Caenorhabditis elegans: one gene and its partners. The protein of the gene in region 3 purifies or fractionates together with the protein of the main gene of each other region. This does not show direct contact. Each region holds a gene or a part of one and is shown on either strand. Other genes may lie near its edges. The genes, in order: Y54F10BM.3, C02F12.8 and eelo-2.

Region 1 (7,209 bases), on a different chromosome or scaffold from region 3:
TTTAAAAAACTAGAAATTTCAGCAAAAATACTTGTTCCCGATAAGCCAATGACTCCAAAACCTAGTAAACGTGTAATATCGTTAAAACAAAATTGACCTCTACGGGGATCAAACCTTCGGCCTATTTTCTACCAACCACACCTGTTACCGGCTGAGCCAATCATTTTTCGAAAAAAAGTCGAGTTCTCAGTTTCAAACTCTTATAACTTCGTCAGTTTGAAAGCTATCAAAAAGTTTTCAACTAACAAAATGTGTAAAATTATACGGGCTACAATTTTACAGTTAACAACTTTTTTATAGCTCTTCTAGTTTTTGAGTTAAGAAAGATCTAAGAAAATAGGGTTTTTCAAGTCTAACCTGGAAAATATCTTCCACACTTCTGAACTCCATTCTCCATAATCTGACAGCACATCACCACATAAGTAGCTCTCGTGTCCCAAACCATTCGCCAAAAAGATTCCCGTGTATCCGGATGTCCTTTCTCCTTATCGTCAAACGGCGCCTGACAAATGATCGCTTTTCCAATATACTCTTTTCCAGGGGCTGTTACGGTTGAGGCATGGATGAAATGGGTGTCATCAACTAAGTACGATGTTGAATCCCATGCTTGAACTTTTGGGTCTCTGGAAAAAAAAACGTTGAAAAATTTGAAAAATAATAAAAAAATTTGCAGAATTTTTTTTTCAACTTTTTGAAGAGTTTTTTGGTTTCTACTAATTTGTGCAATAATTTAAGTTTATCACGTCATACCCTTTCAAATGACCCCCCCCCAAAAACTGGCTTTGACGCACAAAAAATGTATAAATTTCAAAAAAAAAAAAATGTAGAATTTTTCTTATTTTGGAAGTTTAATAAAATTGGTCTCAAAAAATTAAAATATTAAAAAAAAAGTTTTTTAAATTTTTTTTAGAACTTCAAAATTTTCAGAAAGTATCTGTTTTCTTTAAATTTTATCTAAAAACTTGAATTTAGCACGTTGAGACCTTCAAAATGACCCCCATCATGCCTAACTTCCGCCCATTTTGGGTCTCACCACGAAAACTACAGTACCCCAGGTTGGGTTTCGTGGCGGGACCCAAAGCGGTCGCATGATGGGTGTCATTTGAAAGCTAATGAGCAGCTGAATCTAATTTTCGAATTAAAAACTCTAAATTCCTCAGCCGAAAAAAAATTTTGCCGAAAAATCACCTGCAAAGCTTGGGGTTTCCTGCGCTCATCGCTGTCAGCTCAATCGGAATTTCAAATTCTGGCTGACACCATTCGAACCAATTTGCGATTACAGTTTTCGACGGATCGCGTTCTTTTCCCGGTATGATAGAGCACATCGACGGGCTATAGCTCATTTTGGTGAACAGCTTTTTGAATTCTTTACGTGTGATGTTGAGAGCTGAAATTTGTGTAGGTTACTGTAGGTTACTGTAATTGGAATTTTGAATTTGAATGAAAATTGGACTGTTTGGCTTGAAAGTAGAAAAAAAAACAAAATTTCAAAATTTCCAAAAAAAATTAATTTCGAAAAAAAAATTTTTTTTCAAAATTTTTGTTTCAAAAACTTTTAAAATTTTCTACGAAACCGATTTGAACGTTTCAGATTAAAAATTGCAAATTCTTGGGTCCCACCACGAAAACCAGAGTACTCCCGGCGGCATTTTCGTGGCGGGACCCAAAATGTGCGGAACCTAGTCATGATGGGTTTTATTTTAAAGGTCTCAATGTGATTATTTTGAATTTGTTAATTATTTCTCAGTTGGTGCAAAAAAAGTCTAAAAATTTAGAAAAAAATTAAAAAAAAAAAAATTTTTTTTTGAGATTTTTGGAAAACATAAAAAATTTTTACAATTTTTTGCTCATTTTTTAATTCAGCGTGTCAAGACTTTCCATTTAACACCCATATTGACTAAGCTCCGTCCACTTTGAAAACTTGGGGACCCAAAACAGGCGAAACCTAGTCATGATGGGTGTTATTTGAAAGCTCTAGGCGTGCTAAATCTGAAAATTCACGCCAAATCGGTTTTGAATTGAAAGTTAGCTCGAGCTTTCAAGAAAATAAAAATTTAAAAAAAAATTTCAAATTTTCAAATTTTATTTTCAAAACTACATAACTCTGCGAATTTTAAAGATATTCGATTGAATATAGTCTTAAAATGAGCGCAATCTTTTTGTGAGTTTAATGTTTAATTTAATAACTTGCAATGTTTAAAGTAAAATTTCTTAAAACCTGATTTTAAAACCATACCTGACTTGCCGTGCCATCCATCTTCCAGCTGATAATCCTGCTCATCCAATGCATTTTCCGTCTTTGGGTCCGAATCTTTATCAATATCAGGGCCCGTTTGTCTTTCCACCCACACTTCATTTTCTCGAAGCTCATTTTGTGGCTTTTTGAATTTCTGAAAAAACAAATTTTTTTACAAAAAAAATTTTCAAAAAAAAATTTTTTTTTCGAAAACCCATAACTTTGTTCATTTTCAAGATTTTTCCTTGATTTTTGACACGTAAATTTTCAAATTTTTTCGGAAAAATCTCTACCTCTTTATTTTTCACGATCACATCCTCCATCGGCAGCAGCTCGACTCCACCCCGTTTCAGCGTCACCTCCTTTACATGTTTCAGCCATTTGGCTGATTCTCTCGGTCTTTTTGCAGGATCCACACCTCCAGCGTTTCGATTTTTCGAAGCCGAAACTTCAGAAACTCGTGCCAGACGCCTTTCCCAAGCCTTTTCCCTTGCCATTTTCTCGTCGCGCCATTGTTGAACTTTCCAGTAGCAATATGCTCCAAATGCTCCAACAAACGCAGATTCCAGGAAAAGTACAACAAGCCAGCTGAAAAATTACAGAAAATTTGCGAAATTATCGATTTTCTTTCGAAATTATCGATTTTTTTCGCGAAATTATCGACTTTTTCGTGAAATTATTGATTTTTTCGCAAGAAAATCGATAATTTCGCGAAATTATCGATTTTTTTCGCGAAATTATCGATTTTCTTGCAAAATTATCGATTTTCTTGCAAAATTATCGATTTTCTTGCGAAATTATCGATTTTCTTGCGAAATTATCGATTTTCTTGCGAAATTATCGATTTTTTCGCGAAATTATCGATTTTCTTGCGAAATTATTGATTTTCTTGCGAAATTATCGATTTTTTTGCGAAATTACTGATTTTCGATAAAAGAAATGACGCAAGTTATCGATTTTTTGAACAAAAAATCAATAAAAATTATTGATTTTTCTTCAAAAATCCGACCAAAAAAATCAATAAAATCAACATAGATTATCGATTTTTCGAAAAAAAAAAACCAATTTTTCGCCGCCGAGCAATTATCGATGTCAAATTTTCACAACTTACACTTCGATTGGAATTAGGTCGAGAATGTCGGTCAGCGAATTAAACTGTTCAGCAGGTGGTGGTTTGGTTGAGGATCTGAAAAAGAGCGGTCATCGGGATAAACTAACGGGACAACGGATAGACTTACACTGGTGGAGTTGTTGAGGTCGGCGGGGCGGGTGTAGGCCAATCGACGAAACCTGGAAAAAATCAATAAATTTTTGTTGAAAAATCGATAATTTCGCGAATAATCGATAAATTATCAAAAATCGATAATTTCGCAATCGCAATGGCCACGTGGCTTTTTTTTACCGTCCTCTCCACGTCATTTTCAAAAAGAAATAAATAACAAACTCCACGTGTTCATCGAAAATATCAAAAATCGATAATTTCGCGAAAAAATCGATAATTTATCGAAAATCAGTAATTACGCAAAAAATCGATAATTTTTTAAAAATCGATAATTTTTTAAAAATCGATAATTTTTTAAAAATCGATAATTTTTTAAAAATCGATAATTTCCTGGAAAATCAATAATTTCGGGAAAAAAATCGATAATTTCGCGAAAAAATCGATAATTTCGCAAGAAAATCTGCCTCTTCCTATATTAAATCCTGAAATTGCATTCTTGACAGAAATAAAAAATAAGGGCAACTTTTCGACACGTGAGAAAATCGATAATTTCGCAAGAAAATCAATAATTTCGCGAAAAATCGATAATTTGGCAAGAAAATCAATAATTTCGCCAAAAATCGATAATTTCGCAAGAAAATCGATATTTTCGCAAGAAAATCGATAATTTCGCCAGAAAATCAATAATTCCGCGAAAAATCGATAATTTCGCGAAAAAATCGATAATTTCCCGAAAATCAATATTTCGCGAAAAAATCAATATTTCGCGAAAAATCGGTAATTTCGCCAGAAAATCGATAATTTCCCGAAAATCAATATTTCCCGAAAAAATCGATAATTTCGCGAAAAAATCGATAATTTCGCAAGAAAATCGATAATTTAGCAAGAAAATCGATATTTCCGCCAGAAAATCGATAATTTCTCAAGAAAATCGATAATTTCCCGAAAAATCCGATAATTTTGTAGAATCGAACCGTATCTTGGCGTCAAACCCCCGTACTTACTTAGCTCATATGGTTCCACGTGGCAGATGCCAAAAATCGATATGGTCACCAATAAAATCGACCACAATTTCATCTTGAATATTGTGAAATAAATTTTTCAATATCGATTTATCGACTTTCGAAAATCAAACGACGTGGTTCCCGACGTGGAATGTTTTTTGGCAATTTTTGAGTTTTTACGTTTTTATTCAATTTTTTAAAAATTTTGTAACTTTTTTAGTTTTTGAGATATTTTGTTCATTTTTGGCTTAAAATGTGCGAAAACTACCCACGTAAAAGATAAAATAAAAATTTTAGAAATTCCGGTAAAAACTACAGTACCCCACAACTTTTCGTGACGAGACCCAAAAAAAAATCAAAAAAAATCAGAAAATCACAAAAATTTATTGTGCGTCGTAGAAAAAAATCATGTCATTTCATAAATCAATAATATCGATTTATTTGTCGTTTGGCGGAGCCGCAAAGCAGTTTGGCGGGAACAGTGAAAACGAGTGGAATGCACTGCAAATCGAGTCTCGCCACGTGGATTCGTGGTGCTCCGCTTTGAAAAATTGCTGAATTCTGTGGATTCTTCTGGAAAAAATTAAAATTTTTGGTTTTAGAAGTTATTTTTGGATTCAGCGTGATTGATTACCCTTATCTATAGGTTTTCAGAGCTCTAGCTCAAAATCTCAAAATTTTGAAATTTGGCTGAGTAGCGACTCAGAACTGCGATACGGAGTCATAGTTTTGAAAAACTAACATTATCATTAAATTTGCCATACTTGGAAACCCAGAATCCTAAATTTTTAGCCATTTGCACTAAAACTGACCAAACTCCGTATCGCAATGGGTCGCTACTCAGCCAATTCTTGAAAATTGAGCTAGAAGGCCCAAAATTTTGGGATAGGGGTAATCAATGACGCTGAATTCAATAAAATTAAAGAAAACATTTAAAACTTGAGATTTCGACCAAAAAAATCGATAATTTGGCGGAATTATTATTTTTAAACAAGTTTTTTTCAAAAAAATTTTTTTTTTAATTTTTCCAAAATTTCAAAAACCTTTCTATTAGCAAAAAATCAATGAACTTACTCAATTTTTGTCTCATTTTTCCTCAAAACTTGATAATCCTCAGCACTCAGGTCATCCGAGTGTACAGAGTTCAACGATGCACCATAATTGATAGGTAGAGTCAGAATTTCAGAAATTTGAATAAAAAATATCAAAAATAATAAGGTTACTGTAGTTTTTCGCATGTTTTTTTGAACTTTTACATAGAGAAAGTGTAAAAAGTTTTTAGGGAAAAACTTGAAAAATCAAGTTTTTAAATACTTTTCTCACAGTCAGCGGGGGGTGGAATTCGTCATAAGACATGATGACGTCATAGGATCAATTTTGATATCTTTTATCAGTTTTTATCAGTTGCTACACGTGAGAAACAATGAAAAATTCCATTGTTTTGATGTTTGGCAAATCTGAATTCGCTGAATTCTTAGTGTACCTGAAAAGGGGTAGAGGGATACATTTTGCACCTAAGCAATGGGTGCAGATTTTTTAAAATCAATTTTAATATAGCGAAAAACTTCAACAAAATCAGTAAAATTAATTTAAGTTTGAAAAAAAAAATTTTGAAAATTTTTTTCCAATTTTTCAAAAAAAAAAACAAAAATTTTTTGGGTCTCTACACGGAAAGTTATGGGGTACTGTAGTTTTACGGGTTCTTGTAAATTCCTATGTTATATTTTATGGAAAAATATTGAGGGTACTATTTAAAACTAATCTAGGCTCAGAATCTTGAAAATTGGCAAAGTTATGGAGTTTTGAAAAAATTGAAAAAAAAATTTTTTCAAAATTTTTTGGGTCCCGCCTTAAAAAGTCTTTTGGTACTGTAGTTTTATGAGTTGCTATGAATTACTGTACTAGATTTTAAAGAAAATCATTTAGAGCGCTATTCAAAATAAATTTGAGCTCAAAATCTTAAAAATTGACAAAGTTATGGAGTTTTGAAAAAAAATCAAAAAAAAATTTTTGTTAAATTTTTGGATCCCGCCACGAAAAGTGTTGTGGTACTGTAGTTTTATAAATTGTTTTAAATTTTATTGTCAGATTTCATAGAAAAATATTTAGAGCTTTAATAAAAATAAATTTGAGTCAAAAATCTTGAAAATTGACAAAGTTATAAAGTTTTGAAAAACAAATATTTTTTCGAAAAAATTTTTGGGTCTTCTCACGAAAAGCATTGGGGTACTGTAGTTTTACGGGTTTTTGTTAACTACAATATTACATTGTATAGGAAAACATTTTGGGCACTATTCAAAACAAATTTGAGCCAAAAATCTTGAGAATTGACAAAGTTATAAAATTTTTAAAAAAGTTCCAAAAATTTTTTTTCCAAATTTTTCAAAAAAAAATTTTTTTACGTTTCCGGATTTACTTTTTTGTAGTTTATGTCCCAAAATGTGTACTTAAATTGAATTTTGATCAATTTATTTTCGTCTTTTCCACCTCCCATTTTCAGCAAACTGGCTACTGAAAACCGGTTTTTTTGGCTTGAAATTGTTGACATCTCACCAGTATATAAAAATTCAACTCGGCAAGTAGAAAAAAATTTAAAAAAAAATGATTTTTTCCCTACTTTTCAAGATTTTTGCTATATTTTCTATAATATGCTCTACTGTAATAGGAATTCCACCTCCTCCTCCACGCCCACCTCATCAGATTTTTGGAGGCATTTGGAGCCCCGAAGAAGGACCATTTGGAGCTAT
Region 2 (7,924 bases), on a different chromosome or scaffold from region 3:
TGAATGTGCCCATGACGTTGTATTTTTGCCTTTCATACTCTGCCACAGTTTCTTCCAGTGTTTGAATTTTCCTTTTCAATTCGGTTTCTCGTCCAGCTGGCTGAGCTAGAATAATTTAATTGTTTCCAACTTTTCAATATTTTACACGTACGTGAATTATTTCTAGAAGTATTTCTCGATGATTCTCTTGCAACATGTGACAATTTCAAAATTGATAGCAATGAAGTGTTATCAATGTCATGCCTAGAACTTGCTCGTGAATGTTGGCTAACTGGAGATATTGGAGATGGTGAAATCGGGCCACTTGGTGCCCTCCGCAAAACTGGTGACGGGGGAGCTGGTCCTCCGACTGGTGTTCGAACATTTCCAGAGAGGCAACCTAGTTGATGCGCCGGTGGAGGTGCAGGCCAAGCAGCGATTTCAGGATGGGATTGTCTTACGAAAGGTCGAGTCACACCTACGGCTGGTTCACTGGAAAAAGAAAACGTTAAGGGTAAGGAGGTATCAAGTATCACATTTCGCAAACGAAAAGGAAAATGAAACTCACTGAGTTCCATGGGGCCTTGGAGATCTGCTCATTCTTCTAGGTGATCGACTTCCTGATGGAGATGCGGATCGGAGACTTCCATCAAACTCTTCGGATAATATACCAAGCTGAAACAGGTTACTACTAAAAGTTCAAGAAAAACAGTTGATGTTGCTGAGAAACCATCAGTTAGACTTAAAGGTTGAGTAAAAATCCGTTCTGAAAAATTCTAAAAAATTGTTGGAAAAAATACCTATTTTCTCAGGTTTTACACACTTATCGGTATCGAAGCGGACATAATCTTATTGTTATATAATTACGACTTTTTGTACCACATTTTTGTATTTTTACGCGTTGATTCATCGAATTATGCACCATATTTTCAAGTTAAGAAAGATTAAAATTTCAGCTGAAACTGCGCCTTTTCTCCAAAACTTCGAACAACTATAACTTTTAATTTGAGAAATATTTCGAATTTTTCTTAGCGAAACTTGGATAGCTGTGCATATAAATAAAGGCAAACCTTTAGGCTTACAATGCAGTAGCATTTTTAAAGCACACAGATTGGCTTAGTTTGAAAGCCTAATCAAATTGAATTTACTCACTCTTTCTCGTAAGCGCTCTGACATTGAAAAGGGCTTTGACAGCCCTCTTTAGACTGATTATCTGTGGTTAAGTGATGACGTGGCGCTGAAAATAGTTGAATTAAGTTTTATGTCTAGAACTAGAAAAAGTAAACGAAAAAATAAATAAGAGAACAGTTATATAAAAATAAATTAGGGATTCCTTTATCAGAAAATACAAATTCAGTAAAACAAAAGGTATAGAAGCCTAGAGGTTCTCGATATAATAGACAAGGAGTGATTCAGAAAGAGAGATGTAGAAGTGACTGGACACTTCCGAACGAGCAACTGTTCAAGAGAAGAGACTAAGAGATCCGGATAGAAGAGCCAACTGTTGCGCCTTGTAGTCGACATGATACTACTCAACACCGGCGGTGGATATACGAATGGACGTTGTGCCACTCACCCGGGAGGGGGAGAAACATCGAGACTGCTATATCAGATAATGAGTACGCACACAGCAGTGCACATAGGATACGTTGACAAGACCCGATGAATGTGATGACGGTGAGCATAACGCTGCCGAAATGTGTACGGATTGATTGAAAAATAGATTAAGGGGGCTATCAATTTAGATTTATTGCTTTAATTTTTCAATTTGTTGTAAGCCATAAGGAAAAAATGAGCAAAAGTTGTATCCTCTTCGATAGCGTTTTTTTTTTTCAAAAGATTTCGTCAGCCTAATTTCAAAACATACAGATTGGATAAAATGTTTCAATTTCAAAAATATTTCGTAGACAAAAATAGCTATATTTAACTTCTTCATCTAGTTTCACTTAAGCACGATCTCTTTTGATTTTTTGATTTTGATTTTGATTTTGGGAATTAAATGTTTGAGGTAATAATAAATAATCAACAAAATAATAATGTCCGTCTGTCCAGTTTGCCTAATTTGTTTGTGAAGTCAAAAACGCGTCTCTTGAGTTATTCAACCCTTTCTAAACTTGAATTTAAAATTGGTAGAAGTTTGAAACTGGTTAGAGCCTCTGAAAAGATGAAGAAATACAAGACTAGACATTTTTATTCTAAAAATCTCAATACATAAATTGATTTACCCATAAAGTCAATAAATTAAAATTGAAGACAATGACACGTAATTAAATGGACTGAAAAATACAACTGAATGGTCATGGTTAATCACAGTTAAAACATCTGATCACTGGGTACAATGTGTACAAACAATAACGGAATCTAGAAAAGGTTGAAGAAAATTTCTTCGTAATACTCTAATTTGTCAGTAGAATCGCTGGTGAGACCGGCCAAAAAGCATAGTTCCGGAAGAATAGCTGGCGGCAAGTTCAGCTGAAGTTGCTCGTAGATTGTAATACGCGAGAGACTTTGCGGACGTTGAACCTGTAAATAGTCAGTTTGAGACACTTAAAAGTACCAAAATTCATTAAAACTCACCATTTTGAATGCCAAAATGCGTTTTTCAATAAACTGTAACACTTTGTTCATTTCATTCGAATTTTCTTCCCAAGTTTTCACAAAAGTATCCACCGTTTCATAGAATTTTTGATATGAGAAATTTTCGTGAAAAATTGGACGACCCGATTCTGAAATCTTCTTTGCTCTGTTAGCAATTGCCATTTGAACTGCATGCAGGATTTGGGGACTGATCAACGATGGCGGTGGATTCGAGACGGGTCTTTTTCCTCGCTTCTTTTCTGAAATTGAAAATATTAGTACCAAATGGCGATGATGAATCTCACTTTGGTCTTTCTGTCCTGAGCTTGAGTAGTCACCACCAGCTTGCTCCACATGCTTCTGTCTTTCTCGATATGCTGCTTCCAGTACATCGTCATCAGTTTCCAATTGATTTGCCTTCTGTGCAGCCATAAGGCGCTTTTCTTTTTTTGTCAACTTTTTCCTGGCGTCGGGTAGAGCAATAGTTGATGCTTCTTTGCTATCCTCGTCAATGGTGGAAGCGGCCAAAGTCTGCTGACATTTTTGCAATGGTTTTTCGACTTTTGACAATGGCAGCGGGTAGACGAGTTTTTGTGTTTTCTGTGGTACAAAACTGAAAATTACAGAATTTATCATTTTAGCAGTAATATCAAAAAATCACCATTTCTTCCTGCCCGTCGCCTCCTGCCATGATTCCAAAACGTCATCCGACGTATCCAGATACTTAATGATTTCAGATATTGACGTATCCCTGTCATCATCAACAATCAACGAGTCAGTCGTCATTTCAGATACAGGTTCAGATTTGATTTCAACTACGCTCATGTTATCCGAGTGTTCCAAAGTTTCCGGCTCAATCAGTGTTTTCGAAAGATCAAGGTTCTCCATTATATCATCAACATCATCTAATGGTGGCATTTCAGACATTGTACTGCTATAAGGTTCTGGCTCATTTGCAACACTTTCCGTGTCTACTGAATCCAAGTCGCAATCTTGCTGACCAACAGGCGTCAACGTTCCATAATCTTCGTCTTCCGATTCTTCCCTGACACTATCAGTCATGGGTGATAACGAACCATTTCCAACACTAGATCCATTGATGGGCGGTCTGCTGGACATAGATATGTCGCTCTGAAAAAACCATTTTGTAATATAGCATTATAAATTAGTCAAGTGCTGCGTGAGTGTGTTCAAGTTTAAACATTTGATCATTATCACTTTCAGGAACATTTAATGATAGTTGTCATAAATTTAGGAGTGTGTCTGATATTCATGGTCAGACAAGAAGCGGGTTACTAAAATGGTTTTAGATGCAAACCAGTTAATCTCCCAACTTTTAAATTTTTCATATAACTTCCCTAAAAGCGGTCATGTTCAAATTTTCAAATTCTGGCATACCCAAGCAGCAGTTAAGTTGTTTTTGTTGTAGTCGATAATATTGTTTATTACCTGTCCGGAAGAAAACGATTGTGATGAGCATACTGATGATCCCGATTGTGACATGGAAACGACGCATACAGGTGCGCTGACAACTCGACAATATGCAACTCCATTGTTATCATAAATAATGTCTGGGAATCCTTCGTTGGCAGGTGGACCAGAATATTGACTGTAAGACGGTGATGGAAAGATGGGAGACGAGAATCCATATCCAGAAGGTGGCTTTGAAGTATCAATTTGAGGTGGTGACATTGAATACGATCCTTGCGAAACCATTACAGCTCCGACTGGCATCATGGTTGGTGGAGCTGGCACAAATTGGGGAGGATTGTAATTCTGGGAACCAACAGGCACGTGTGGATGCATAGGCTGGTTTACAATCTGTGGGTGTGCAAATCCTGAATTCGACGCTGCCAAATCCATAGTGTATGGAGGAACAGGTTGCGGAAAGACGTTTGGATTTGATGCAAACTGTGCCGGAGGTGGCATGTAATTACCATGTTGAGCAAATGGGTGTACCTGAAAATTGCAATTGTTTCAAAGTTTTAAAGAAATTCTTATGGCCTTGGGGTTTTTAAACAGTGAAAAACTACATTTCTAAAAATTAAAACTTGTTTACTCCTCTCGATTGAAAAAAAAACCGATTTTTTCCATTAAATCAACGAGTTTCTAAAATCATTAAAAGTTTAATTGTCAGCTTTTAGTTTCGCCGTTCGCTTAATTTTTATTGCAATCTAGTATTCCCATTTCAAAAAATTATCAACGAAATAAGCTTTCAAATTGCCTGAGATTGGAAATTCTCAATATCTCATGAACAAACTTTTCAAATTGAAAAACAAACCTTAAATGAAGCATCCAACGTGCTCACCAAATTGTTCTGATATCCGCAATTTTGATAAGGATTTGGGCACTGATTATTTTGGACGGGAGCGGCGAACTGTTGCTGCATGAGATCATCAACGTCTTTTGAGTTCAACAGAACCTCATTCTCAAAATTCCACAGCGCAATAGGATCATTTGATTCAAAAGCTCTTTGAACGATTTCCCCGTAACTTGGATCCAGACGATGAAGATTATTGTAGGAAAAGAGAATCTGTAAAAAATTATTATATATAAGAATATACAAACGCTCTAAACATTATGTACCTTCTCCAATTGATTTCTTCTTTGAACACTATTCCTGAGAAAGTCCTCATGTACTTCACTCGAGTGTCCTTCGGTTTTCCAGCGAGATCTATCGTTTTGCATAGCTTCTGAACAAAGTTAACATGAAAATTTGTCAGAGTTTAAAACAACTGATAGGTGCAATATTGAGAGCCTGTTAATAATTGAAAATTTAAATTGTAGGAAAAACCGAATAAAAAAAACATATAATTTAGTGCTTACAACATTCAGTTTTACTATTTATTTTATGAGTAAAATTATAACGAATAGAAGCTGGCGGTGTCACATTTCAAAACTAGATCAAAAGATTTGCTGAATTAAAATAAAAAAGAGAAATGTTATAGCTATTTGTTTGTTTTTAACCTACTCTTGTTACCGCAAAAAAACATTGTGAGCATTTTACACAAAATTATATAATTTTTGAATTTCCTTTGCTAGTAATTGTTGGGAAAAATCAAAACAAATTCTTGAAGCTAGATTGCATTCCAAGTAACATGGTTAGTTCAAAACATAGAATTTTATGAGAAATTCAAACTTTGAAAGAATCATGCATCGCGTTGGGGCTCTCGAAAAATAATGTCTAGGTATCTAGATAGCTAGATTCATATCATAGCTATAGATTTAATTTTTGCTTGTAACTACAATTGTGGAAAAATGGGAATATAAGAGTACCATTGAAAAAAATAGCACAATGTATAAATTGCACGGTTGGCATGCAAAATTTTGGTTGGAAATTCAATGAGTAGAGCTAAAAAAGTTTTAGTTTTGCCCAAGGATAAAAAAAAGGAAACCTGACTCAATTTCTGTCAGTGGAATTTCTAATTTGGTTAGTGCATTCTGATTTGGTCAGTGCAATTACTAATTTGGTCAGTGCTTTTCGACTTTGGTCAGTGCTTTTCTATTTTGGTCAGTGCTTTTCTATTTTGGTCAGTGCTTTTCTATTTTGGTCAGTGCATAATTTTAATTTCTAACCTATTATCTGATTGAAAAAAAATTAGGAGGAACGAAGTTGAAAACTGAGGTGAACAAATGAAAGTGAAAAGACGCGCACGCAGGTGGTGGTGCTTAGTGTTTATCGTCACCCACAACAATAACTGGGTGGGTAATATGGTGAGGAAGAGGACTCGTTGGACAGGGCAAAGGGCCCCTCGGCGGATGCCACGCACGCAGCACACAAAACCCCCCTACATTCGTTCGCGCGCACACTCATAGAACACTCACACACACGCACACACACGCTCACATATAGCCAACTGCACCCCCACGTCAACAAAACACAAACACACAAACACGCACACACATGCGCTCACACGACGACACGGCATCCAGAGGCACTAGCGCAGTTAATTTTTGACGCTCTAGACTAACAATGGGACTCTTTTAACTCAATGAACATATGACAAATGTTCACGGATTCTCGTGTGATTGCGCACGAAACAGAGCGTTACGGTGGGCGCAAGGCCGTTACGGAAAATGGTAATGACGGTCATAGGTCCAATTATTATACATATGTGATAGTAAAATGTAAACAAAAACTAGCATGTTCGCAGTAAGTTTCAGAATGTAGAGAAGAAAACAGAAATCTATGTGGAAATATAATCTAGCAATCATCCTGGAACTTATCAAATGCTTTCAATGTACGACAGGTGCTAAAAAATGTAAAAATGTAGCAGAAATTTCACAGAAAAGGTAAACTAAAATCATAAAAGAACTCGCACCCCCAATTTCGCAAGAATAATTGTAAAAAAAAACAGAAGGGAGGTCATGGATATTTTTAGTGCAGCGCGAGTAGATCAAAAAATTTTAATAAAAATTGCATCACAATTTTAATATTTATAATTGCTTTAAATGATAGAAAATGGGCTGTAAGGACAGATTACGACTGTAAAAAAATTATAAACTTTTTCTAAATTTTTTATGATTTCGGCCGAATTAAATTTAAATTTCTGCGCAAATGAGTGACGTCATTTTTTATACTTTCGCGTTCTCTCGCTTTCTTCGCCGTTTTTTTTTTTAATATTTTTTCTTCTATATCTTCTATATTTGATTGAAAATTTGATAACACAAAATACTTTTGCGGAAATTTCAAACTTTGCCCAAAAATCGACAGTGGAGTTTTTCAAAGATTTTGTTTTGGGGAAAAATATTTGAAAAAAATGGCGAACAGAGTTTTGAAAGTAATTTAGTAGAAAAAATCTAGAAAACCGAAAGAATTTAGCCAGACAACGCAAAAATATCGAAAATAGCGTCACTCATTTGCATGGGAAGTCAAATTTAATTCGGCCGATTCTTTGATTTTTGAAAATAGAAAAATATTTTAAAAAAATCATGAGAAATCTAAATAAATTTTCTACACTTTTTACAGATATATTCGATCATTACAATCCATTTTCTATCATATAAAGCGAATTTTTATTTATTTATTTGACTCTACTCCACCTTTTAGTTTGAAAATTGCTAAAAATTTACATCAATTTGCAACAAATCTCGAGAAAACAAGTTTCGAAAATTTTTCGAGAGGTCTCATACGGATTAGAAGCAAAAACTACACCAAGTTTTTTTCCAGAAACTAACATCTACTGCTATTTTAAAAATTGATACTTCACACTCTTGACATAATGAGCGATTAATTTGAATTATGAATTCATTGAACTTTTTGTTCTGCTTGAACGTCAGAATGTACTTTCTATGGCAACCTTTTTATGCGTTCGGGGCAAAATAATCAAAGAGTAGATTTACAAGTATTTCATAACAACAAACGTAG
Region 3 (9,684 bases):
CAGCGGAAGTGCTCGCCCCGCCACGTGGATCAAGTCTTCCTCCTCACTTTCGTCGTTGTCAACTTCCATTTTGATAGCTTCCTCGTCGACTTCCATCTTTATTTGCTTGGCAGGTGGCTCTTCAATTTTGACATTTGGAGCAGATTCCTCCGAACTGCACTCAATCTCCTTCAGATAGTCCAGAGATGGTCCATAACGTCGCTGTTTCGTTGATGTTTCTTCTTCCTCGGTTCTGAAAAAAGGTTTCATTGTTGAAATATAAAAGTTAAGCCATTTAAAAGTACTTGGCCTGATCCAGTACATGCTCATTGTGTGAAGCTTCACCACCGCCTATTGCATTATCCTTGAGCCATTCTGGCATAATTTTGGCTTCTTCCACAGGACCCCTGAAATATTAAGAATCAAAGTTTATTTTTCTACTTATGGCCACTAACTTATTAATATCCGCATTTAAATCCACAAAAACTGCATCTCCATTCTGATAATTGATCGAAGCGATATTTTGATAAGAATGAGCGACTCCTCCCAACTGTATCCGTCCACCACCACCTCCACCCGACGTAAAGTCCATTTGTTGTTGCTGTAGTTGCAGTTCTTTGTCATCTTCCAAATATTTCGTGATATCCGGTTCAAGGAGATGCGGAGCCAATTGGATACCGTTTAGAGCACAAATATGAGAGAAGAGCGGTGTCATTTGTTCGTTGAAGCGTGCCACAGCGGTTCTGGAAATTTAAAAAATAAAAAAAAATATATATGCAGATACAGTAACCCGAAGTTTTTTTTTGAAAGGAGACCCTAAACAGTAAAATTTCATCAATTTTTTGGAGCTCAAAATTGCAAAAAATTTTAGAGTACTGTAGATTTAATTTAACAAATTCAAAAATCTGTCAATTTGAAAATTTTTCAATTCGTCGCTTTGAGCTCGATCAGAATTCATAATAATTTTCGCTTCAGAACCCAGAAATTTCCGAATTTTCAGATTTTCAGGATATTCCAAGTACCTCGTCGTCCTCGATGGTACTACCGTCTCATCCGCCAACACATCTCCGTGGCACCGCCAGCAAATAAGCCGCCCGCTTTCAGCGTCCAATATCCGATTGATTTCCAGCATCTAAATATGATTTTTTCAGAGAATTCTTCTATTTTAAAAGAATTTTCTCACATCATAAGAACTCTGACACGCTCCACATCGATAGTGAGCTCGATTTGTGTCCATTTGCTCTCGGGACTCGAGTTTTTGTCTGGAAAATTTTAAACTTTCAGTGAAAAAATTATATTTTCACACCTCATGTGATCGATTTTGTAGCGCACCACGTTGAGCACAGCCCGATAGTTTATATAGTAGAAAATGATGGAAACCGTTCGATTATTCTCGTTTTTCTGCGTAATCGTGCGCTCTTTCACGAGTTTTTCAGCTTTCAGAGACGCGAGGAGCTGAAATTGTCAAATTTTTTGAATTTTCGAATTTCAAGCAAGTTTCAGCACACCTGTCTGAGCATTTTCTGATCGAATTGTATTCGGGCTTTGAGATTTTCCTCGCGAATGCACTGGGCTCGCATTATGTGGTAGACGATGATAAAGTGCTCCTGGAAAATTAAAAATTCAAGAATTTTTTGAAAAATCAGATTTTTCGCTTACACTTGAGAAGAAGTTCTTTACCACCATCAGCAATATAGTGTTGAGTGCCTCCGGAATCTGAAAAAGACGGTTTTTAGTCAGATTTAGTGGGTTTTTTCGCGGAAATGTTACCTCATCCACCACTTGGGTCTCGGTGTGAGCCGATGATGAGCCGGAGGTCGCTGGGCCAGATGACATGCCTGGAAAAATTTAGTTTTTGGAATAAATTTTAATTTTTGATCAATAAATTATAATTTTTGTTCAAAAAAGTGAGCAAAATTTAAATTAAAAATAATTCAGCTCAAAAATATCCAAAAAAAAAATGGAATAATCGTTTTTTTTTTAATTTCCAAAAAAAAGTAAAAATTTCAAAAATTGGTTTTAAAAAAATAACACAATGTCCTGGAAAAGGTAATTTTCAAAAACAAATTCAATTTTTTTCCTGTTAAATAAAAAACATAAACATTTTTTTCAATTTCAAAACAAAAATATTTCAATCGTTGGAAAACGATATCTCAAAAAACGATAAATTTTCAAAAAGAAAAGAATTCATTACTGAAGTAAAACAAAAATTAAAAATGAGGGGAAAAACATTAAATAACAGAGAACAATCTATGAGACCCTATTTCTTCTTAAGACTATCAAAAAAATATAACAAAAACAGAAAAAAAATCATCTAAACATATGTGAAAACCCGGTGAGAAGCGAAAAAGAGATGGAAAATCTCCAAAAACCGGGGGGGAATTTTCATCGTCTCTGATTCTCCGACATTTCCATTTCATCTTGAATGGCCATTGGTGGGGCGTAGTGATCACAGATGGCTCCGACTGATGGATTTCGGCCCTGAAAAAATGGAAATGAATATTTTTCTTTAAAAAAAATTAAATAATGGCTTCATTTTTCTGGAATTTAAAAAATGAAAGTAATTGTTTGGAACTCTTTTAGAATTCTTCTTGTAAAAATAGAGTTCAATTAAAGCGTTCTAATTTTAAAAAAATACGATTTTTTGAGATTTTTCCATGCAGAATTTAAGATTTTCAGCTTATTTTAATGCCGTTTTTCACCAATTTTTCAGTCAAAAAAAGAAGATTCCCCTACCTGGAATCTTTTGAACAATTCCTTCGCAACATCTCCACTTCCTCTATTCAATATTGTCGTTTTCAATCGTTCTCCCGTTTGCACTTCATTGTCTTCCTCGTCAAATGTCTCATGGATATCTAAGGCGAGCATCTGGAAATTGAGCCAATTTTCAGAAATAATTGAGATAATTTTTTTTAAAAGTATTTATCAAAATTCTGATGATTTTCTAACACTGGAAAACCACCTCACCTCAGCCCACAGCTTCCTATAATACATGCTCATATGTGGTTGAAGAGCAAAAATCGGTGTGAATGAGCACGGTTGATAGTCATTTTTGGCTCTTTTGAACGGGAAATACTCCTCATACATTTGTTTGTACATATCCAGCCAGAACTTTTGCTTCCTGTCCTCCATCTCGTAAATCGACAGATCAAAGTCCGACCAGAAGAGGGTACGGTAGGTTTCCCAGAGTGATGCTCGTGAGATCGTAAGAGCCACCGAGTTTGCGTGCTCTTCGGTCAACGATTGCTTTGTGATCTGAAACAGAAATTCAGACATTTCAAGAATTTTCGACTAAAAATACCTGATGCGGAGAGCTAATTGTTGCAAGGAGATTGGGCTTCGTGACGAACATTTGCAAGAATGTTGGGAACATGTCAGCTGCATCCCAGTCAGATGCGTAGAATGGAGACCATGGAATTGAAATATCACGGTATGGAGATTGTGATAGAAGAAGCTGCACACTTCGGCCAAACTGGAAATTTCGAAAATTTAAATTCAAACCCAAAATTTCGACTACTGACATGGAAAAGAAGTTGCTGAAGCTGCTGGTGATGGAGAAGAGACGGTCCGTTGGAAGTTGGAGCAATTGCTGAGCCGATGAAGTACACAATCTTGTCGAGACCTCGTTCTTTGGATTCCGCTGGAAATATATTTGTTAACTAACCTGTGTTGTTTTTTGCAGTTATTTTTGAACAGAATTTATTCTATTAACGTTTTTCGAAAGAATTTTTTTGCAAAAATAATTTGAAAAAAAAGCCAGATAGTCTGAAACGAGGAGAATTTTTTCCTCTAATTTTTATTCTAAAAAGACAATTTTTAAAATTCCCTCGCTTTTTCTGTCTTTTCATATTTTTTTCGATGGAAAAAATGAAGTGTTCCAAAAATACAAAAATCAAAAATTTTCAGTTTTCAAACAAAATCGAAACTGAATTTTCCGACAGGAAATGTCTAAATTCTAATTTTTTTCTAAAAAACTCGATACAAATTCAGGTGATTTTCCAAATTTTTTCTCGAGCTCTCCAAATTTTCAGCATTCTTCAAAACCTACGTCTCGCAAGCATAACATTCCATCCTCCTCGTTTATTCTGTCGATCATATGGATCAATGTATAATCTTCCATAGTGTTGTCCGCTGAACTTGTCGCCAACCGAGTAGATCCGGACGTCAGCATGCGCTTTTTCGAGTCCCTTATCGGTGATATCTTTGAATTCCAAATTGAAAATATGTCCGATGACTCCCATTATATTTTGGAATGTTGGCCAGAATGGGAAGTGATTCATTAGGTCCAGTGGGTTGACACTGAAAAAAATTAGTTAAAAATTTTTTTAAAAATGTTCTGAATACCTCTAAAATTACCGAAAAAATGAAAAGTTTGAGCTTTTCAACTGAAAAAAAAATCTGAAAACCTTTTTTTTTGAATTTCCGATAATTCGTAACACTTAGAAGTTTAGAAAAAAAAAGCTTCAAATCATCCGAATACCTCTAAAAATACCAAAAAATTGCAAATTTTACGACTTCCCCTTTGAAAGGCAGGCGTAGGCCGGCAGGCAATACTTTTTCAAAAAAAAAACCTACTCATAATGATGCTCTGCCTCTTTTCTGCACACATATGGCATATCATAGGCCTGAAGCTCGCCAGTGATAAGCTCACAACGTCCAGCCCATGCGGACCAGGACTCCATACGATCAATCACTACAGGCCGGATTCTACGTTGAAGACTGCAAGAAAAAAGTTGATTTAATTTGGAATATCATGCTTTTCGGTATAAATAAAAATTTTTTGTCAAAAACTGTTAGATTTGGGTTCTTTTTAAATTTTTTTCCGGCTATTTTTTGGTAAAATGTCAAAAGCTGAATTTAAAATAAAATCTTCACATTTATGGAAATTTTCAGCGTTAAAAAAACAATTTTTCAGTATTTTTTCTAAAACTCACGCATTGATAAATCCTCTAACTGTCTCCGGCGAGGCAGCCATTTTATTCGCAAGTCGGTGCTCAGCAACAGATGAATATCCAAGCGTTTTGGCGAGTCCTTCGCTGAAAAATTCAGCCATTTTTCAATTATTTTTCCTTATCGGATTCCTACTTATTATGTCTCAACTCCTCGATATTGATTGAATTATTGTAGAAATCATGATCAAATCCAGCTTTACTCGTCCATTTCTCCCATGCGGTGGCTCTCAATTGACGATCTCCACAATATTGCATAAATGGGTAGATTGTGTGAGGTGTCATACGTCCACGCCATGGTCCTGATTCCCAGTTTTGTCTGAAAAAAGAAATTAGTCTGAATTAGTATTTAGTTTAAAGTGGGAATATTTGAGTGAAATTGGAGAATTGAGCATTTTTAATGGTTAGAGAAAATTGAAAAATTTTACAGAAAGTTCTTACCTTTTCACTTTTTTTTGCAGAAAAAATTACAATTTCGTCTAGTACTTTTTGATAATAATTCTCACGATTTTCTGATAATTTTCAATTTTTTTCTAGTGAAAAGCATAAAAATTGTGAAAATTTGGAGCTTATTTTCGATTTTTAGCTTAAAAATACCACTTTTCAACGAATTCTCAACAAAATTTCGCCAATTGCTACTAAAAAAATTTCGCCAATTGCTACTAAAAAAACCTACTCATCAACAGCGAGCTTCTGTAAAACATGTGGAGGTGCATCTTTTATCACTTTTTGGTCCGTCACGACAAATGTCTGCTGATCGTTGGTTGACATCACGCCGGTGCTGAAAAAAAGCCGCTTAAAAGCTGAAAACTTCCATTTAAAACTCACATATACTTGCTCCTGTACTCGTCGACAAATTTGCTCCAGGATCCGAGAACCTTACGCGTTTTATCGTCGTGTTTGTCCAATCCAGAAGCTTTTATCTGCAAATTGATCTTATTTCAGCCAGAAAATCCGCGAACTTAGCTGAAAAATTACAATTTTCCTGGGAAAGTTAGACGGAATATCCTTTTGCTGAGTTAAAATCGATGCTTTCTATTTAGCAAACTACAGTCTCTATGATTTCTGAGCAGAAATCAAATTTTTTAATTTCAAAATCGGTGAAAAACACTTTTTCCAGTCAATTTCAGGCATATTCTCGTTAGAAAATATTTAAAATGGCACCTCGAGCAAATACCACTCCAATAGTCTCGATTGCCACTCGGAAAGTCCATCTTTTGCCTCATAAAGCTGCTTGATGGCGTCCTGGAAGTCCTTGTTGGTTAACTTCTCCATTTGATCGCGGGCACACATGATTTTGATCTAAAATTTAAAAAAATTTAGGTTTTCCACTTAATTTCATGAAATTTTCTGTTATTTTACATGGTGAAGGTCCGCATCGAAGAGTTTTCGGTTACAATCAGGCCAATCCGTGAGCATTTTCAGCACAAGTGTCTGGAAAGCGAAATTGACCTCGTATTCCTCCGTAAGCAATGGTTCTACGACGTTTTCAAACTTTCGCTCTTCTGCTGGTACTGAAAATACATTTGAAATTGGTTTTTTCTCAGATTTCACAGATCTTACACGTTGCAAGATGCTCCATGTGCTCCATTACAGTGGCTCCGTAGTCCATGAGCATTCGAACGGTTCCTTCATACAGTTCCTGAAGAAAAACCAATAATTTAAAGTTTTATCCAGAAAAATTAGCTACCCTGGGCTCGGCGGTGGCCAATTTCGGCCAATCTTCATTTTTAGCGATATTGTACATGAAGCAGTTGTTCTCCACGGTTTCCTCGGGAATTACGGGAAATCTGAAAATTAAAATGTAAATTTTTATCACTTTTTCGAAAAAAACTCACACAACATAATATCCAACCACTCGCGCCGGCGTCTCATTCCCCATTTTGAACAGAATCTGTCGTTTTTGTTGCTTTTGAACATTTGTTGTTGGAACCTGTGTGTGGAAAAATCAGTTTTAAGCTATTTTTAATCAGTGGAAAATGACTAACAATCAGCCCATTGGTTTGATTATGGATTTTTCGCGTCAGAAACCTCCCGAGGGGTATCCTACGGAACATTCCTGCAAATTATCTATTTAAAATTTCTTATTTTTTGTTTTTTAATAAATTCTCGAGAATTCTCCTGAATAAAATTGTCCAAACATGGTGAAAACTTGATTAATGCGGAGAAAAATAAAATAGAAACGATGCACGGTGGTTCAGTACTGAACGCAGAAAATGAGTACTGAACGCAGAAAAAAATCGCGATGAACGCAGAAAATGCAAGCGCGCTCCATTGACGCAGACAGCTGCTGGCGCACATCGCGAGAGTTGACGCACAATTGGATTTTGGAGGCAGTTTGAATCGAGTTTCTGAGAAAAACTCTACACACGTATAGAGTTCCCCACCCATTTTCGAACCAATCAGCGCTTATTTTTCGAAAAAATTGAACAAAGGAATATGAAATACTTATGAGTTTATTTAAATTTAAAGAAAAAAAAAACGACTAAACATATGAAAATTCGAATAGTGAGATCTTGTGGTACATCTAAAAAAACAATTGAAAATGTGTAAAAATGAATTAAAACTTGGTTATGTATGTTAGAATCTTGATTCCGTGTTTTCATGAAAATAGAGTTTACATATAATAATAAACTCCATTTTTATACTCTGCAGACTTTCCAGACTTTGGTCTTAATTTCAATGGAACAAGTCTTTTGTAGAATACACCCATCAGAATGAATGCAATGAAAATTGTGGTTGACTGTAGGATGATGACGTATTTGTAGCCGGAATGTTGGAATAGGAATCTGAAATTTTTTTTTTTAATTTTACTCTTTGAGGATGGAGAATATCAAATTGAACAGTACTAGAAGAAAAATCCGTTTTCGTGAAAAAAGGTTTTTGTGATAATTTTTTTTTCTGTTTCAAGTTTTTAACAAATAAAATTTAAACTCTTTCTCGATACTAATCCTTCTAAATACTCATGCATCCAAACTCAAATTCAGACTATTTTAAATAATTAGTTTAAAGTCAATTAACACTTACGTGATAATAATCGAAGCAACAAATGGCGTGATACTTCCACCAAAACTGAACAATCCCTGCATGGTTCCCTGCTTCCGTGGACCCAAAATCTCTGAATAAAGTGCGGCGGCCGGTGACTCGACAAATGGGAAAGCGATTCCGAAAAAGAAGACAAATGCAAAAATGTAGAGAGCCATAGGGACACGAGTTGTCGTGTTGCACCATGAATATGAATCAAGGCATCCACCGACAATAGTTGTGTTGGAACCTAGAATCAGTATAATTTAAAACTAAAATGTTTCACATTTTCCAGAACAGTCACTGTGGAACATATTCTAGATTCCATATATTCAAATAAATCATACTTCTGAGAAAACTTTGAAAATCAATTCGCGGCGAGACCCTTACCTGGCGGCAAAAAGTGCAGAGGTCCCGAGTAGAACCACCATGGATAGTTGACCACGTGGAATGCGACGAATACACCCAATCCGAATAGAATTTGAATTCTTTTGTCACTGAAAATATGTTATAACAATATGAGACAAAAAGCAGTTAACAATTAATCGAAAAAAAATCTTCCAACTGAAATAGGGGATGTGAAACTGTTAGATTTTCTATTTGTTTGTAAATTTGAAAATTTGCTGAAAAAAAATTTTAACACGCTGAGCGCCTGTCACAGCAATAATTCACAATATTTTTTTTTAGAAAACTTCGTAAGCCCGTAAAGATCAGTGAACACGAAATGCTGTCCAAGCTGAAAGCTGGTCAGTGAAACAGTGAAAAAATTGAAATTTTTTTAGAACATAATTCCCCGTGTCTATTTAATTTGAAAAATCACAAGTATTCTAGAAAAAAAAGAACTCACATCTTTCCAATTCTAGTTTTTCCAATTCCAAAATTAATCAAAACCGACACAATACAGGTAATTGATTCTATAATCCCGTTGTACAAAATCGCTTGAGAATCTTTCCAATCGTAGAGAACAGTTGTCAATGGAGTAGACATTCTGAAATTTTTTTTTGATTAAAGATAAGTGGAACGCTTAGATGTTTTAAAAGAAATTTTAGTTTTGAAACAGGGGAAAAATTCGAAAAAAAAACTTACACTTCAATATTTGTAGCAATCATACTAACAATCATGTACAAATAAATACAAACTAATGCCGGAACTAAATCGAATTTCGGCACCACAACATAGTCCGCATTGCCTGAAAAAAAAAAATGAAAAATTATCTTTTTTTTAATAAACGTATAGTTATTACGGGAACAATATGATAATGCGTACTTGGAGCATTTTATTTGACGCGCGATATCTCTTAGCGAAAACTACAGTAAGAACTCAAATAGCAATAGTTATTTGAGTTCATACTGTAGTTTTCGCTAAGAGATATCGCGCGTCAAATAAAATGCTCCAAGTACGCATTATCATGATTTATTGTTCCCGTAATAACATAATATTTTTTACATTAAATCAACTTTTAAAACTTTTTCTGAAGATTGGCAAGGCAAGTTGCTGCAACTTTTAACGAAAATTGGAAAATACAACAATAGAATAAGTTTAAAAAACTTAGACTTAACCGAAATTTTTGAAACGGAAATTTTAATATTTTTCTGCAGTTTCTTTTCCCATCAAAACTTACATTTCTCATCACTTGAATTTTTATCAATAATTCCAGCATAATCTTCCTGAAAGAAGACCAACATCAAAACAGCTGCAAGCACACAAATGAACGCCATCAGGTAAGCTGCCG

Evidence for each region.
Region 1: the proteins of eelo-2 (region 3) and Y54F10BM.3 fractionate together in Caenorhabditis elegans (co-fractionation; one large-scale study listed by BioGRID). This does not show direct contact.
Region 2: the proteins of eelo-2 (region 3) and C02F12.8 fractionate together in Caenorhabditis elegans (co-fractionation; one large-scale study listed by BioGRID). This does not show direct contact.

The regions. Positions count from the first base shown.
Region 1 is NC_003281.10:2,279,412-2,286,620, reverse strand, and holds the start of Y54F10BM.3 (Tyrosine-protein phosphatase domain-containing protein), read right to left. Parts: upstream 4,597-7,209; 5' UTR 4,536-4,596; coding exon 4,463-4,535; intron 3,527-4,462; coding exon 3,475-3,526; intron 3,423-3,474; coding exon 3,348-3,422; intron 2,825-3,347; coding exon 2,530-2,824; intron 2,391-2,529; coding exon 2,237-2,390; intron 1,388-2,236; coding exon 1,189-1,387; intron 624-1,188; coding exon 358-623; intron 1-357. Other genes in the region: Y54F10BM.22 (Neuropeptide-Like Protein), read right to left, coding at 4,900-5,035, 5,537-5,700; Y54F10BM.23 (uncharacterized protein), read left to right, coding at 7,064-7,209.
Region 2 is NC_003284.9:3,687,990-3,695,913, forward strand, and holds C02F12.8 (uncharacterized protein), read right to left. Parts: upstream 5,250-7,924; 5' UTR 5,245-5,249; coding exon 5,143-5,244; intron 5,090-5,142; coding exon 4,838-5,089; intron 4,516-4,837; coding exon 4,006-4,515; intron 3,688-4,005; coding exon 3,218-3,687; intron 3,170-3,217; coding exon 2,862-3,169; intron 2,817-2,861; coding exon 2,557-2,816; intron 2,503-2,556; coding exon 2,341-2,502; 3' UTR 2,154-2,340; downstream 1-2,153. Other genes in the region: Putative protein tag-278, read right to left, coding at 1-105, 152-471, 548-654, 1,132-1,155.
Region 3 is NC_003282.8:17,247,434-17,257,117, reverse strand, and holds eelo-2 (Peptidase M3A/M3B catalytic domain-containing protein), read right to left. Parts: upstream 6,988-9,684; 5' UTR 6,986-6,987; coding exon 6,917-6,985; intron 6,862-6,916; coding exon 6,767-6,861; intron 6,719-6,766; coding exon 6,619-6,718; intron 6,571-6,618; coding exon 6,492-6,570; intron 6,443-6,491; coding exon 6,291-6,442; intron 6,231-6,290; coding exon 6,093-6,230; intron 5,852-6,092; coding exon 5,757-5,851; intron 5,710-5,756; coding exon 5,605-5,709; intron 5,248-5,604; coding exon 5,065-5,247; intron 5,016-5,064; coding exon 4,914-5,015; intron 4,894-4,913; exon of another isoform or gene 4,767-4,893; intron 4,699-4,766; coding exon 4,555-4,698; intron 4,279-4,554; coding exon 4,028-4,278; intron 3,620-4,027; coding exon 3,501-3,619; intron 3,452-3,500; coding exon 3,281-3,451; intron 3,235-3,280; coding exon 2,947-3,234; intron 2,848-2,946; coding exon 2,716-2,847; intron 2,461-2,715; coding exon 2,365-2,460; 3' UTR 2,154-2,364; downstream 1-2,153. Other genes in the region: gtf-2E1 (HTH TFE/IIEalpha-type domain-containing protein), read right to left, coding at 1-232, 285-386, 435-722, 1,002-1,111, 1,163-1,241, 1,286-1,434, 1,488-1,586, 1,639-1,695 and 1 more; mfsd-8.1 (Major facilitator superfamily (MFS) profile domain-containing protein), read right to left, coding at 7,546-7,717, 7,956-8,202, 8,343-8,449, 8,800-8,940, 9,039-9,141, 9,574-9,684.